2 linked regions of the Styela clava genome follow. The protein of the gene in region 1 interacts with the protein of each later gene in a pairwise test. Links are inferred from orthologs where the notes say so. Each region holds a gene or a part of one and is shown on either strand. Other genes may lie near its edges.

What was found.
Region 2: the proteins of splicing factor U2AF 50 kDa subunit-like (region 1) and splicing factor U2AF 35 kDa subunit-like interact in binary tests that used the Drosophila melanogaster proteins (3 or more experiments, as listed by UniProt). The link is inferred for Styela clava from reciprocal best matches to the Drosophila melanogaster genes U2af50 and U2af38.

The regions. Positions count from the first base shown.
Region 1 is NC_135261.1:11,542,717-11,550,798, reverse strand, and holds the start of splicing factor U2AF 50 kDa subunit-like, read right to left. Parts: upstream 3,002-8,082; 5' UTR 2,850-3,001; coding exon 2,820-2,849; intron 2,257-2,819; coding exon 2,036-2,256; intron 1,562-2,035; coding exon 1,297-1,561; intron 1,212-1,296; coding exon 1,005-1,211; intron 401-1,004; coding exon 251-400; intron 1-250. UniProt on the Drosophila melanogaster protein: Necessary for the splicing of pre-mRNA. Binds to the polypyrimidine tract of introns early during spliceosome assembly.
Region 2 is NC_135253.1:21,304,730-21,312,946, reverse strand, and holds the start of splicing factor U2AF 35 kDa subunit-like, read right to left. Parts: upstream 3,267-8,217; 5' UTR 3,117-3,266; coding exon 3,073-3,116; intron 948-3,072; coding exon 860-947; intron 632-859; coding exon 571-631; intron 1-570. Other genes in the region: uncharacterized protein LOC120344621, read left to right, coding at 6,289-8,217. UniProt on the Drosophila melanogaster protein: Necessary for the splicing of pre-mRNA. Binds to the polypyrimidine tract of introns early during spliceosome assembly.

The sequences.
Region 1 (8,082 bases):
TGTTACTTATTTGTCAACTTAATACTCGAAAATATTTGAAAACTTTGAATTTTTATTCCATTCAAAATCGGAAAAAAGTGCTTTTTCTCTTCAAAATCGGAAAAAAGTGCTATTTCGCAGTCCCTAAAAAAAGTTGCGAAAGTGTTTCGCAATTTTCGCAAAAAAGTGCGCTAATAGTGAACACTGTATGAGAGACTTAACAAATTTGACTACGGTAATTCTACATAATTTCAATACAACATAATATTACCTTATGTAGAGAATCTTGTACGACAGTTGAAACAACACCTGGCAGATGAACAGAAGGTGTTTCTGAAGATCCTGGCAGTGGTTTGTAGTCACTTGGTCGTCGAATTTTCAATGATTGACCCATGAAATTTATACCATCAAAAGCAAGAGCCTTAAATAGAAACAATACTCCAGCTTGATATCTACTTGGCAATAAGTATTAATAGCTGATGGTAAGTTTTGCATCACACTATCTGGTGATATAGAACCAGGGATGTCCAAAACGAATCAAATATCGAATACAATATCTCAACCGTAACAAACAACACAGAGAAAACAATGTCTTTTATATTTATGTTGTTTTAGATATTTCATGTAATTTTTCACATGCACTTGCCCCAATGTAGAATGTAAACAATACTTCAAATTCGAAAACGTTTTCTCATAATGTATTTAAAATAGAAAAATATTCGGCTTTGGCCATCCTTGTAGCCTATAGAATAAAGTCTGGTATACTGTTGTGGTGTAATATTACATTTTTTTTCAACATATAAAGCAGTTAAGCAAATAGAAATGGCAGCGAGTTGAGAAATGGTACACAATATCGCATTCAGACATATTATAGCAATTGGACTTCTGTCCTGTTTATTTATCTAGCGGTGAATTATATCAAATCTCTTTCTAAAAATCTTTATATCTACTTATATATATACTTATATCTGTTTATATATCTAACAGTAATAATATATCAAGATTTGAAAAATTTCTGTATTTACCTGTGTAGTTTCATCCACAGATCTGAACTCTAGGAAAGCAAAATTTTTGTCAAGGTTTATCTGAACAGCTAATACAGGGTTTCCGGGCGCTTGTGCAAGACCAGACATTTTCATTTGTTGATTGAAAAAATCCATCATGGCATCCTCTGTCACCCCAAAAGGTATGTTACCAACATATAATCTCCGAGCTTGGAACAAGTAGAAAGGCTGAAAAACAGTAAAACAATACATCCGTGTATAAATTGCTTCACTATAAATCCATTCAATTCATGAAACAGGTAAAATTACCCACACAAACCTGACGAGTCATCTGTGTCCCCGGTAGAGGTGCCGCTGGACCAGTAGGTGTCCCAGTGCCAAGACTTGGAGTTGTAGCCATAAGAGGGATCTGTCCAGCTGCTTGCATGGCCTTGTATTGAAGTGGGGTGAGGTGTTCAAACCCAGATGGTGCCACGTCCCAATATTTGTATTGTTTCTTTTTCTTTGTAGCTGTAGTTGGTTTTTCCTTGCTTCGAGATCGACTGCGTCGCTTTCTATTCTCTCTTGACCTCGATCGCCTGTTGGGTTAAAAAAAATTTGGGGTCGCTGCAATTTAGAAAACAAGAATAATAAATCTTTGTAATATAATAAATATGCCTACAATAGCCATGGACCGAAAAGCCAAATCACTTGGCACAAAATAAACTGCATTATTAGGAACTTGAAATTCTATTAGAATATAATCAATCAGAAAATTATATTATTTTAAATATAAAAAAAAAATCCATTCTATAAAAATATTTTATAATAAAATCTTACTTACTTTGATACTTACTCCATATCTGATAATAAAAAAGTCAATAAACTACATGAATTTAAAAAAATTACTAAATATTATTTATCATACAGATAAAACTTGAATTTAATCCAATCACGAATCATATTTATATATCAATATGACCTGCAGAGTTGGTTATTATGCTTATGATCTGAGATTGTTGAAAGACATTTGGAAATGAATTCAAATTCAGCCATCCTCGCATACACAGTACCTTCGACGTTTTTCTCTGCTTTTGCTTCTTCTTTTCCTATCTCTATCACGATCCCGATCTCTGCTGCGTCTCCGGTCATGATCTCTATCACGTGACCTGTCTCTCCTCTTACGATCACGCCTGTCTTCATTGCCACCTTGTGGTTTTATATCTTCTCCATATCCTTGATTATTTCCAGGTGGATAACCACCATTTTCATATGAATCAGGACCAGCCTCTTGCTGAAAATAATGTAAATAATTTTATCAAAAACCTTTTTTGAATGTTTGATTAGGTCTTGTCTCATTCTACCGAAATTAGAAATCAATCAAGCATGCCTGATCAGATGAAAGAATTGCGACACACTATTGCTTCTCATTTTTGGCTCCCTAAAGAAAAACTATGGTTGTACCAGTTGGTAAAAGCAAAGGAATATTTTCAGCAATATCAAACACTGAAACTTGAATTATTATACAAATGTATGGATAAAATGTAATTTACATGATTTATAAGCTTAAGAATTGATATTTTAATAACTGAATAATTATTTCATGTATTGTTTAACGTTAAGTTACCACTTCATTGATCATCATGCATTCATGTGTACAGTACGGTACCGTATGCTTGTATGACGTGGAGGCAAAATTGCAGTACCGTATTTTCACTATAACAATTATATTATGCATAATTATTTCAATTCAGATACTCAAACAAATTAACGTACGTTATGGAATTAAAATATAATTGCCAGCCTAGAGCAGTCAGGCAGCAGAGAACAAACCGGAATACCGGTACGGTATACTACCTTCATAAAGGCCTGTTGGTTCTGGTCCATATTGTACTTCCTGAACCTCCAATTTCGACAATACAATTAAAAATCAGGTACGAAAAATTTAAATTCACTGAGGTTTCTAATGTATCACGAATTATTCACCCACAGACGGCTGACGAGCAGTACAGAACAATTGCAGACGCAAATATGTCAGACTCGAGGAAAGGAACTACAAGTCACGTGATTATTCCTCATCACTAGAGGCGATAGTGACACATAGACTATATGAAAATGGATACTTACTTATAGGCCGCGAGCCGAGGCAGTTTATCTTTCAGTTTCGTAGCGCACAAAAGTGAACTACCTGAAAATGATTTTAAAATGTTCCTTAAAAATTTGCTAACAAATAATGACTTGTTCCCATTTCCAAAAGTTGCACGCTTTACGGAAAAGACGCTTTAGCTTTTACTACAAGAAATATGCGCTATGATCTGTCCTATATTCTCTGCTTTTCCGGTATCATGGACCAATGAACGCAGACTTCTGTATGATGTAACAATTAAATTGGTCAGCTGTAGGTGGATCCCCCATGGTCGGATGGATATCACTTTCAATACGGTAGTTTTTTCAGTTAATATTACTTGATTTCTTCTAAGAAAGTGTTAAGAAGGATGATAAGTGAGCTATTAAAATAAAACAATTTTTTTTTTGACTTTTTTCGATAACAAGAAATCTTTCCTACCCGTTTTAAGGTATTATAATGTATGTTTAGCAGTTTTTTTTTAAATAAAAACGTGTTATTTATACATGAATGAATATCGGTTATTACATTTTTATATTTGAAAATCTCTAATTTATTATTTTGTTTTTGATAAATGAAAATAAAAAACACCCCCCCCCCTCCAAAAAAAAATAGGCCCTAGTGGTATTTATCGAAAAAACATTGAAATAAGACACCGTTCTTTTTTCCGGGAAAACACGGTAGTACAATGGTTCCCAACCTTTTTACCCGCCGGCGATAAAATTAAATTAAATGTACTCGCGGACCGGCAAGAAATTGAAATGACCGGAACAGAAAAGAATAACATATATTTGCATAATATATTGCAATGTCAGGCGCTCAATATGCTTCTAGCCAAAAAGGCACACTTAAAAACTTTCACACGAAGAAAAACTATCAAATAATGTGCCGGCCAAAAATTGAAATGAGTGAAACATAAAATAATACTATGTATTTGCGTAATGAAATGCAGTGCTGAGCACCCATTATGAATAAGAAAGGCAAGCATAAAACATCTCACATAAAAAACATGTACATACCAAATCATGTGCAAACGCAATTAACTGAGAATTTTGCTGCTGTTTGCTCCGTTTCCAATATAGGATAGCAAACGAGGCCTCAAAGAAGTTTTCGCAACACGTAGCTCTGAGATCCCCAAAACAGCGCTCTTACTCCATAGTGACACCTTGTGTCCCATCACTAATTAATTAATAACTTGCTAATTATACAATGTAATTCATCCAAAACCAATAGGCTTCTGGTTCGACATATGATGAATGCACAATCTGGAGCAGATTCAATATTGCTTTAGTGAGATATTGCATGCATCTAACAGACAGACAGACAGACAGACAGACAGACAAATACCTATCAACTTACTTACCGATTAAAATCGATAAGTAACAACGAAATTTCTCGCGGACCGGCAAAAAAGCTTCGCGGACCGACACCGGTCCGCGGACAGCCGGTTGGGAACCACTGACTTAGTATGTGCTGTGTGTGAAATATGTAAACAACATATTGAAACCTTATTACCTTTATTACTTATCGATTTTAATCGGTAAGTATGTTGATAGGTATTTGTCTGTCTGTCTGTCTGTCTGTCTGTCTGTCTGTCTGTCTGTCTGTCTGTCTGTCTGTCTGTCTGTCTGTCTGTCTGTCTGTCTGTCTGTCTGTCTGTCTGTTAGATGCACGCGATATCTCACGAGTTACCACATTTTTGTGATCTCGAAGCGGGACCCCCCAAAGACCATATCTGTGATTTTTGCTCCTTTAAATTTTACATTGGGGGCCTATATTTAAAACCATTCCAACCGTCTTCATTGACCATATTGTAATCGAAAGTTCATGCGCTGTCTGTCTAATTATCGGTTTCAGTTCGAAAAATAGAAATAAATTTACGTTAACGTTAAGCCCCCTTTTGGCGTACGATGCTTACACGTAACAAAATGTAGCAATTATCCGTAATGTAACAAAACAACGGAACAAACAAAACCACGCACGCATCTTCAGTAAGAAGGCTAACGGTACGCTACACAGCAACAACAGTGTCAATAACATTATAATTTGTATTGTTCGTGTTTTATGCTGACTGGTTGAACGCCAAAGCGGGACATTTGGCTGACCTGTCGGGATACCGGGACAAGACGTTGAAAAGTGGGACTGTCCCGCCTAAAGCGGGACGTATGGTAAGCCTAGTTATGCATAGAGTTATCTGGAATGATGTTGTTATGTATTGCTATGATGTATTGTTTGTTGATTGATATTGTTTATTACAATATTGTTTTATTTTATTGCAATATTGTATTATTTTATGAAAATCCAATAAAAAAGAAAAATATTTTTTTGAAAAAAACGGTGAAATAAGTAAATGTTATGGCAGTTGGTACAATGTATGCATATTGAATCCGGATATGGCCTCGTTCTTTTGGTTTCATATCAAACGCAAAGTTGTCATTGTGAAGTCACCGTTAACATCTTGCTGATTAGATAATGTTGCGAAAGTAGTCAAGTAAGTCGATTCTCGTAGAAACACCTGTACTTCAGTATACAGACAAAACGCCAGATTTAGCCTTTAGATTTAGTCTCATTCGAAATCCTAAATTGTCAGTATATCAAATTTAACCTGCGTATATTATGACCTCATCGCAGTAGTAGTGAACATTTATTATTATTAATACAAATATTTTTCTAGTTTCATGGTATATATGAATGGAATTAAAATTTCACCATGCGATTCTGTAATCTGAATACCATCGTTTGCAAGCAGTTCCCCGAATCCCCACGTTGACCAATGATAGTTGGACCCACAAATGATGCGATGAAGAAACTGGACAGAATGGCGAGAGCAAACAAAAAATCGATTGTGCAAAATTGAGAACGCGGTGGTGAGTAGAATAATTTATCATTGATTAGTGTAATAAATATACTGTAGTTATTGTTGCTGAGGACTGTTCAAAACAAGTCGCAAAGTCTCCATAAAATTAAAAAAAAAATCGAATTTATGAAAACATTTCAAGATAGGAATGTCGTAACATAGCGGTAATCTTTGCATTAAATTGATGATCCCGAATTGCGCAAAAACATATTTGAAAAACCTGTAACTTCGAACAACATAAACCTCTCCGCTTATATAGGAACTGGCAGCAAACTTACATCTTAGTTAGTTCAGTGTTAGGACTAGAGGCAACGTCAAACATCCCCCCTCCTCTTTTATTTTTAATTCGCAGAAGAAAAAAAACTATGGTTTCCCAAACGTCGAATTATTTTTCTGTTACTCTTGGTGAACTGCGCCGCATTCGGGCTTGCGAAAAAACAATTGGGCTTAACTCCAGGTTCGTTTTTGGATGACCCTTGGTTCTTGTTATCAATTCCAACAATCAAAGTGATTGGCGCAGGTCTGACTTTCTGAAGCTCAATCTCAACTACAATGATATTGTTTTGGGAACTAGGTCGTTTGCCAAATCCAACGTCATCATATTCATTGTTTTTACTTTCATTAGCATCTTCATATAAAAATGTGCCCTTAAAAACACACACAAATTTAATACGATTTTCTGCTAAGATTCTACACTCCCTTACATTTACAATTCTTTTTCTAGATCGCTGAAAAGACAAATAGGAAATCTGAATCAATCTAAAAGACTTCTCTACTATGATGAACCATGATTCACCAGCCTAACGCGAACACCGGAGACCGCAAGCAGTAGGTAATAATACAGCGGAACTTTGGATGAAATATCAGATCTCGTCGGATTCATATAAAAATTTAGGAATAAATAATAGTAATAGCCATCGAACGAATAATATAATCTTTAACCACTGAAAATTTCAAAGCAATTGGTTCAGTATAGTTAACGATTTTTTCATACGGTAACAACAAGAAGAAGCGGTAACAACAACATAATAACAAAATGATCCACGATCAATTTTGATTGCAAAAATTTATATTCTAATTGTGAGTCAGACAATGAAAACTATATATAGCGAAGCAGCTTCTTATACATTTTATATAATTAGGTTTTCTGGTTTTACTGACACAACATCAGAACTCAACTTGACGAAAATAACCGAGTTTTGGACAATTCGCATCATCAAATCAAACTTCGTTTGGCTACTCGGTTACAGAACACTTGAACATTAGTCCAATTAATTTAGATTGAGAAACGACAAACTGGACAATGACAGAACAATACTTTAATAATATCTGCTGTGGTGTATGGAATTGCGCAACAGATCGCTCCAGAACATTATTAAAACAACATAGGCTACGTACATTTACATTTCGAGTACCCTACTTGGATACCTGTCGCTCCGCATCGACACAGTGAAAAAAAAATTCCGCGTAAAATACCGAATCAATCAAAAGATGAAGATATTCCGTCAACTTCTAGTGCGACAGAAGTTTTTGTATCAAGTATATCTAATGTTTTTGTTACTTTTCTGGATTTGCGTCTGGCATGACAACACCAAGTGTTAGGAGTAACGATACCACAATTGTTACAACCGTTCCTAGACCCGTTAATCCGGCGTCCTTGGCTGGTGTTGTTTATCCTAATAGTCAACAACCAAATATATGTTATGGAAATATTCCGTATCAAATGTATTGTCAGAATTATTATTCTTATTTTCATAGTAACTTCTTATGGTTTCTGCGCAAAACCCATTTTACTAGGGGTTCCAACAGCCCACCCTAACATCAATTTATCCAACAAATTTCTGTACAATTTGTACCGGGTTATATAGAGGGACCTAGTCCTGATATTCCACAGGAAATTTACGATAGAGCTCATTCAGCATCAAAAATGCGTAAGCGTAGTATCAAAGTTTTCATGATGGTGATGACCTGAACAATTTCGCAATTTGATTCAAATCAAGTACGTCCCATACCAGAGCTAAAGATAACCACGCAAAGGTAATTTGATTATATAGCTTTATTGATGCAAAGATTATTGGCCATTTGAAAATTTATTTCGCTCCAAGATAGATATAATTCTGATGTTATATTCAATATAT
Region 2 (8,217 bases), on another chromosome or scaffold:
TATATGTAAACATATTTGTGGGATGGCTGATGGCTTGACATGGCTGAACTACAAAAATGGTCATTATAATTACCATATTTCTCCACATATGGTACATACTTTCAGAGCAAAAATTTAAGTTCAGAATGAGGGGGTGCATTATGCAATGACATAGAAAATATTGAAAAAATAATAATCCCTATTTTATGCCTAAATGGCTAATAATTCTCACATATATTAATCTCTATTAGGATCAGATCATGCTTGTTTCGGTAGAAGCCCAATCCAAAGAAATTTAGGGTTAGTAAAAGTAGCAAGAATTTTAACGAATTCAATAACTCCGAAAGCCGAAAAAAAAAGTTAAAGAACAGTTGTATATCGTTAACTGCTGTCACCGTCTTGCCGTTTCTCTCCCTCACACATATGTCACCCAAATTAGTGACCATGACTCTTTTTTGAAGTGCAGCATCTGAAAACACGCTCTGACATCAGGCTTAATAGTGCTAAAATGAATATGCGCATTATGGGTGCGCATTATGTCCAGAGAAAATTGATAAATATACGATATGAAATTGGCAAATATCAACTCACCATTGGGAACAGAGCAGTTTGTAATCTGTGGATTCTGATATAATCCTTGCAACATGATCGTCTGTAAAATTGAAAATAACAATAATTACTAAGCAGTTAGACATTGTTAAAATGAAGCCATTGGAAATGAATTAAATGAATATAAAAAATGAATCTGGAAATCACCCTATATATATATATATATATATATATAAACGGTTCATTCCTAGTCAAAGTAAGATTCATGATATCATTTACTGAAACCTATAAAATTAGATGAGGATAAATATCATTCATAAAAATTAAATACCTGGCTGAAAGTGGGTTTGTTGTGAAGTCTTGAACAACGATCTCCATGACGACAAGCTCCAATCTTGAAGTAGAAAGAACAATTTACCCTGAAAATAGAAAAAAAAAACAGAATCAGCAATGAAAAAATTACAAAATCAAGTTTAAAATTTCTTTTGCGTTTGAAGAGGTCGAGTTTATTTTTTACAAACAATTACAAATTTCAAAACAGCTATAAGCATGCGCTATATGTTGCGATTCATACAAAAGGCATACAGAATTGCGCTCAAGCCAGAATTTTGAATCTGGACTAAGTTAGATTAATCAGAATACAAAAGGGATTCCATTATTCAAATTTAATTACAGTGGTGTGGCACATCGTGCTAAGAGTTAGGAATACGATCACCACTGCACCTTTAATTACACTGCGGGTTCGCAGGTTCGAATTTCATGCGAGTATAATTATGTGCAAAAGGATTGCTGGACTCCTCGCCGCCAGGGATGTTCAGGTAACGTAACTGCTGGTCGGTTACGGCTTCCTCCACCATCAAGTCCATGCTTCTTGACTTTGAAGGCATCAGTTATTATTTTTATTTCACAATCACGATGTAATGCATTTTTCGCTAAACCACTGTGGAAAATATTGTCATAGCATTGACAAATAAGTTTGCAATTGGACAAGTATGGTAGTCAACTAATGAATCAATTGACTAAAATTCCTTGAGGATAATGGGGTTTTTCTTAATATTGCAACTAATACCGTTACATTTCGATATTCAGTCTTGAGGATAATTCAAATCTCTGAAAGGCTTTCAAATATATATATTTTTATGTGTGCTATGGTGGCGAATATTTCACATCTTTTTAGAAAAGTTGGCACTCAGCTACACAACTTGAGCCTCGCCATACCTAAGCGCGACATTACAGCATCAAGCATTGCTTTTGTATTTTGTTAAACGATGCATTTCGAATTTCGTTTAAATACCGGCCAGTCTGGATTTCATGGCCTTTTTGAACGAGAAATCGGGCGTGCAATCAGAAATTCCCGCGTGCAAATAAGAATTCCTGGCGTGCAATTATAGCTCACGACGTGCAAAACAACTGCACTCGCGTGCAACTGACTTTGACATCAGATACCTCTCAATAAATCCGCGTAAAATTACCGGTATCGGATAAAAAATACGTTGAATCAGAGAAAAAAAATGGACGTTTGACCTTTGACCCCAAACATTATTTCTACAGTTTGTCGCTAATTTTGAGAGTGTTTGTGCGACTTTGGATACCGGTACTGTTCAGTACATCCGCGTAAAATTATTGGATAAAAATTACGTTGAACCAGAGCAAAATGGACATACTTTGTCATTAATTTTGGTAGTGTTTTTACGTAGAATTAATGGATAAAAAATACGTCAAATTAGAGCAAAATGGACGTTTGACCTTTGACCCCAAACATTATTTTCATACTTTGTCACTAATTTTGGGAGTGTTTGAGCAACTTTAGATACCGGTACTGTTCAGTACATTCGTGTAAAATTATTGTATGAAAAATACGCTGAATCAGAGCCGTACTTGGCCATTGGTGCGGAGGCGATCTTTTCGTCCATAACTATTCTCACGGGATTCCTATTTCCTATCATTCAACACGATATGGACCTTTCCCCGAGCATCGACTTCCTTGTTTACTTCGTGACATTGGCCAATCAGCAAGATGCAAAAAAGGACGTAACAATGAGAAGAATTTTTCGCGGGTCAAAGGTTGGGGAAAGGTCCATGGTCTTTTTGCTTCGCAATATTTCGATCAGACCAAATCTTGCAGGCTGGTATTTGTCGACAATTGTGGAGTTATAATATTTTGGCATCTTTATATTACTGGATTATTGATTTTAAAACCATTTAAACCGATTTACATTGGTGAGCAATTGCAAATTTTCGGCGTGCAAAATTGATTTCGCTCGCGTGCATTTTTGCGGAGCGCTAGCGCCCTCGGGCGTGCACCTGCCATGGAATCCAGTCTGGCATGTAACCGGACAAGAGGCACTTCTGCACTTGGTTCGACATATGATTAAGCGGTCTTTCATCTCACCCGAGATAAATATGTAAATCGTATTTCAACTGCAATTTCTATTGTAGACCACAAGAGGAAATCAAATATCCAATCAGTACCGGTACCGGTACGCTATTGAATGTTTTAGAGTTCCTGAATACAGAAACATAAATTGAAAATAAGTAACTCACTTGTCTTTTTCTGTCCCAAAAATCGAGGCCAGATACTCCGCCATGTTTGCGATGGGATACTGATATATTGACGAACCTCTTGCGTCGAAATATTACTCAATGACAAAATCAGCAAATAGTCCAAATACAGAAATACCGTACCACAGCCAACTCGCAAGACCTCCAATCACAAACACACGCAGTGAAAATTTCTTGACGTTTCTCGTTGGTTCAGCGTTTATTATCACTAGTGGGCGTAGGTGCTCGAATGAAGTGATCGGAGTCAAGTTTTGTAGGCGCCAAATCCTTTCGGATAAATGAAACAAATTAATTTGATACATTTCTATTGCCATTAGCATTATAAAAATATTCTTATCCGCACGAAAAATAATTTTATCCGTAAAATGTTTCAGAAGCTTGGCGAACGCTTGAATTCAACAAAAATTTGCACGTGAAAATAATATGTAGCGTAGCTATTTTGGGGTGAATTTTTCAGTAATCACCAGTTTATTTTGACCCTACCGAAATACATTTTATGAATAAACAATAAAAATGAAGTAATTTGCTACCTCAGGGTAAAGGGAGGCGCGAGACATCATTACTGGTTATCGTGCAGCGACACCATTATCTTCCACATAACTTTACACTTAACTATTCGATCGCATTATTGTCAATCAAGCATACGAGTATTTTTCTATTTTCACTACATTCTAAAACAGTGGTTCCTAAACTTTTTAAGCCGCGCCTCCCTTCGAAAAATTTTACAAACTTCGCGCCCCCCCCTCTTTTTGCTTCGAAAAAATGCTTTTGTGATGGACAAGTTGTTATATATCAAGATGGCGCTATAACAGAGTGTTGGTCTCATAGCGTCACTGTCGTATGTATAAAGCCAAATAGTGATTGGCCATCATACATTCTTGTTTTTCCGCTCAGTTTGCAATACTTGGCAAAGTCAAACTAATTATTAAGTAAAACTAAACAAGCAATAAACCAATGCTTTAAATATTTTCTGCTTAAGCGTTTACATAAGACACGTAAAATTTCAATTAATTGTTGTCGCTAAGGCGTTTGCGATTGCATTTTGTTTAAATCTCCATTGTTTACGTCAGCGTGGCGTGGTATTTGAGCCCTAAAAATCTTGAATTCAGTGTCTATTCTTTCTAAATCCAAAATTTCCCTCGACATATTCTTGTGAAGCGAAGACGATTATAATTACTTTTTTTGTTCTCGAATGGAACCATGTCACCTATGAGGAAAACGGGTTAGTTTTTATTATAATCATCAGCGACGAGATGCTAAAGATAGAAGAAAGAAGTGAATCCGTAACTAAAAATTTCTTTATTGTAAAAGTGGCATTATAAAAAGAAAAAAAAAAACGAAAAACGCCATGAGTTTTGTTTTGGGGTGGACCGCGACAGATTAAAAACACTTTCTTAGACATTGAAAATCTCATTAATTCCTTGTGCGTGCGGCACACCAGTAGTGTTCTAAAACTACAGACTTGATATAAATTTTACTTCGTGGGATCGCAGACTTAGGAATATCTATAACGGTGATATCTTGAAATTAATCGAGTGGCGGCATTGCGATAGAGCGAAGTAAGAGTTGCAGGGACAGCTCATATTGGTGAAATTGGCAAGAATACAAATCAAAACAAAATGTAATCGACATTTCTATGATTGCGGATTACCGTGTTATTTTGGAGTACTGGCGCTTTTATTTTATCGACGCAATCGCAGATTCAATTTATTAGAATTGAATGAATAAAGCAACCATTTTAAATAAGTATATCGGTCATGGATTGAATATTTTATTCAACAGAAAAACCATTACATTACCGTTGAAAAAGTCGACTCTTTCAACGACTGGCGTAACCTCGAGGACTGACTCAGAAGCCGTACCGCAGGGATTTCGTTTCGATGAATATGTATTTTTTATCTACTAATATACTTTACATGTATTTTAATTGTACTATATTAAATATACTTTCTGAGATATTATACCAGATCTTTCTAATGACGACAACGAATTCCCATGAGTGCAATATATATAAAAACTAAATATAACCGGGCAGTTGATTATACTTAATTATGTCCGCGGATTGGCGTGGTATTTTAGATAAGTAATGAGTTTATTTTGTCGTGAGTCGCCGCAACCGCGAGTTACCTTGAACACAAATGAATTAAAATAGAGAGACATTTTGAATTATTGTAGTTATTACGAGACAGAAAAATTCATTATAACACGAAAAAGTCGGTATTTTGAACGAACGCGGAGACCGTTTCAGGAGCCGTAACATGTAAATTTCCGATTCCATCTGGTGAGCATCTCGCGCCCCCCAGTTTAATAGCCACTGTTCTACAATAAATCATCACCGTTTTGAATACCAAACTTTTGTTTGCGACCTTGCTTGCGCCATCCTAGTTGATATGGTTTAGGTAATTATAATACATTATTATATATTTCTTTTTTTAAATTTTTAGATATCTGATGAATGTATACAGTACGTAATATTACATATTACATGTTTTTTTACTTTGTTAATTTAAATCGGAATATTGTGTTTTTATATATCATTTTAATTAAGTGATGATTAATTGATATCACAATTTGTCGTATGCCAGGCCAATGAGTCAAAAAGAATCTTTCCGGTATAATCGTCAATGGTTTGAACATTTGACTGATTTATCTTGATACTACTTACTTTTGGTGTGTTTACGTATGGTTCACTGCATCGTGATTATTGGCTGATTACTTGATTACTTCTTGTTATGGTTAACTGTCTAGAGCTTTAGTCTGTCTTTAGATCTGTTCTCATAAGCTTGTTAATGGTGCTATAGTCATTGGGTATGAATATTCTATTTCTTAAGTTTCTTACATTGGGATAATCTGTTCTGACAAAGCCTCATTTAAATGTAAGTGAATTGGTATATTCTTGCTTTGTATTGTGCCTGGTTGCCTGTACTCATTTTAATATTCATCTTTATTGTTTGTCAGGTCACTTTGTCTTACTGATATCTGGATTAAATCACTTTGGGAGAAATCTATTCGTTTCATTTCGGGATATTAGTTAAAGAGACATAGTAGGCAAGGGTGATTTGTCAATGGGCAGAAATCCAAATTAGTGACATTTAATGATACTGCACCTACACCTACAAACTGGAGTCTGAATCAAGCAGTTCTTCTTCAACCTTTCGAGGATTCAGCAATACATCAAAGCAAGAATGCCAACTAACAATGGCAGAATATTTTCAAGGTCAGAATTTCAAACAACTCAAGAGTAAGTTTCCGGTACTCAAAGTAAATTTGGAAAGAATTTTAACACGATTTGAGCACTCTCTGGAAAGAAGAGATTTTGAAAAGGTCAAAATACTGTTTCATGATGCTAACGATAAAATAGCATTTTTGGTCTGTCTAATTGATACTATGGAATTGGCTCTAATTGAAGAAGACAGTACTACACAAAGTGAGGAAAAACCCGTTATATCTAAATTTAGTGAAGAAATTTTACGTGTGGAAAACAAGATTGCAATCGATTTTGAGAAATATGAAGACAAACTAGATATAAAGCCGGTGATATCATCTCTTGTAACCGCTCAAAACAATTATAATAATGATCCTCCTATGATTAAGTTATGTGGTATGGATCCGCCATGCTGGAACGGACAAAAAGTAGACTTTTATACCTGGAAAGAACGTTTTACACATATAATGCACCATGCTAGAATTACGGATGATTTAGTGCAAATTTCATGGCTTATACGCAATGGTGCAATGCCAAACGATTATCAAACAATGATATGTGACTGTAAATCAATTTCAAGTGCATGGGAACGCCTGGAAGAGCGTATTCCTAAATCAGTAGTTCAACGTGAAGTAATCAAGCAATACGAGCAAATAAAACCTTTATATAAGACCTCTCGTAATCCAGCGAACCTTAGGCGACTAGCTCACGAAATTTCTCTCTTCTGCCGACGTATGGAAGATCTTGGGTTAAAACAGGATGCAAACTCGGTTATTTCTGTCAATAGAGCATTAGAGTGTCTAGATGCAGACACTGCACTGCGATATAATAGTTCCAGCAAAGGTAATCATAACTTGGAATCTATAACGAATTTTCTGAGATCTGAAGCTACAGCATTGGAAATATCTGGTAACTTTATCAGTCAAACCGAGAATATGAGGTTTCGACCGAGACAAAACCAGTCGCCAAGATCTAATTTCAATACGGTTAATCATGCTACAGACGAGAATGATAACATGGGTTCAGTTCAGCCACGTCAAAGGACAGTCACTTGTATTTTTGGATGTGGAATTCAGCACCGCCTTATAGACTGCAACAAATATCAAAACCTATCAATTCCTGAAAGAAAAAACTTTATAGCAGATGATCGAAGATGTTTTATATGTCTAGGAACTCACTTTGCAAGAAATTGTGCGAGAACAACAGCCAATAGCTGTGTAAATTGTAACCAAAGACAGCATCATTGGTCATTATGTCCCGGAAAAGTACAAGGAAATTACAATACAATGAGAAATTCTGGTATGAACGACTCGAATTTGGAAAGTCAACATATTCACTCTAATGCAGCAGTATTCAACCAATCTCAGATGCATTCAAGACAATTGAGCGCTTTTAATTTGGATTATTCTCCATTACTTGTTGCAGAAGTGCAGGCGAGTGACAAAACATGGATCCAGGCAAATTTCTTTCTTGATGGTGGCAGTAACCATTCTTTGGTAAGACGTAATTTTGTAAAATCATTGAAACAAAAGGCAGTAGGACATGGAACAATTCGGTTTGGTGTCGCAGGAGGAGCCATTCATGAAGAACCTTCTGAAGATTATAATTTGAAAATTAGACCTCTTTCACGAGACCAGATATTTGATATCAGAGTTACGGCTGTGAGAAAACCTTGTCACGATGTTACACCAATTCCGCCATCTATTTTTAAACAGTTTGAATATCTAAGAGGAATTCAGGATAAAATACCAGTTGGGCAAAAAACAGTCGATGTTCTTGTTGGTAGAGATTATGCACCTTTAATTCAAACAATGCATTCATTACGTTCGCCAATTGATCCCGATAATCATCCTTCAGCAGCTTTCACATCTCTTGGATGCTATCTATATGGAGGCATTATTCAAGCACCGCAACGATCTTTC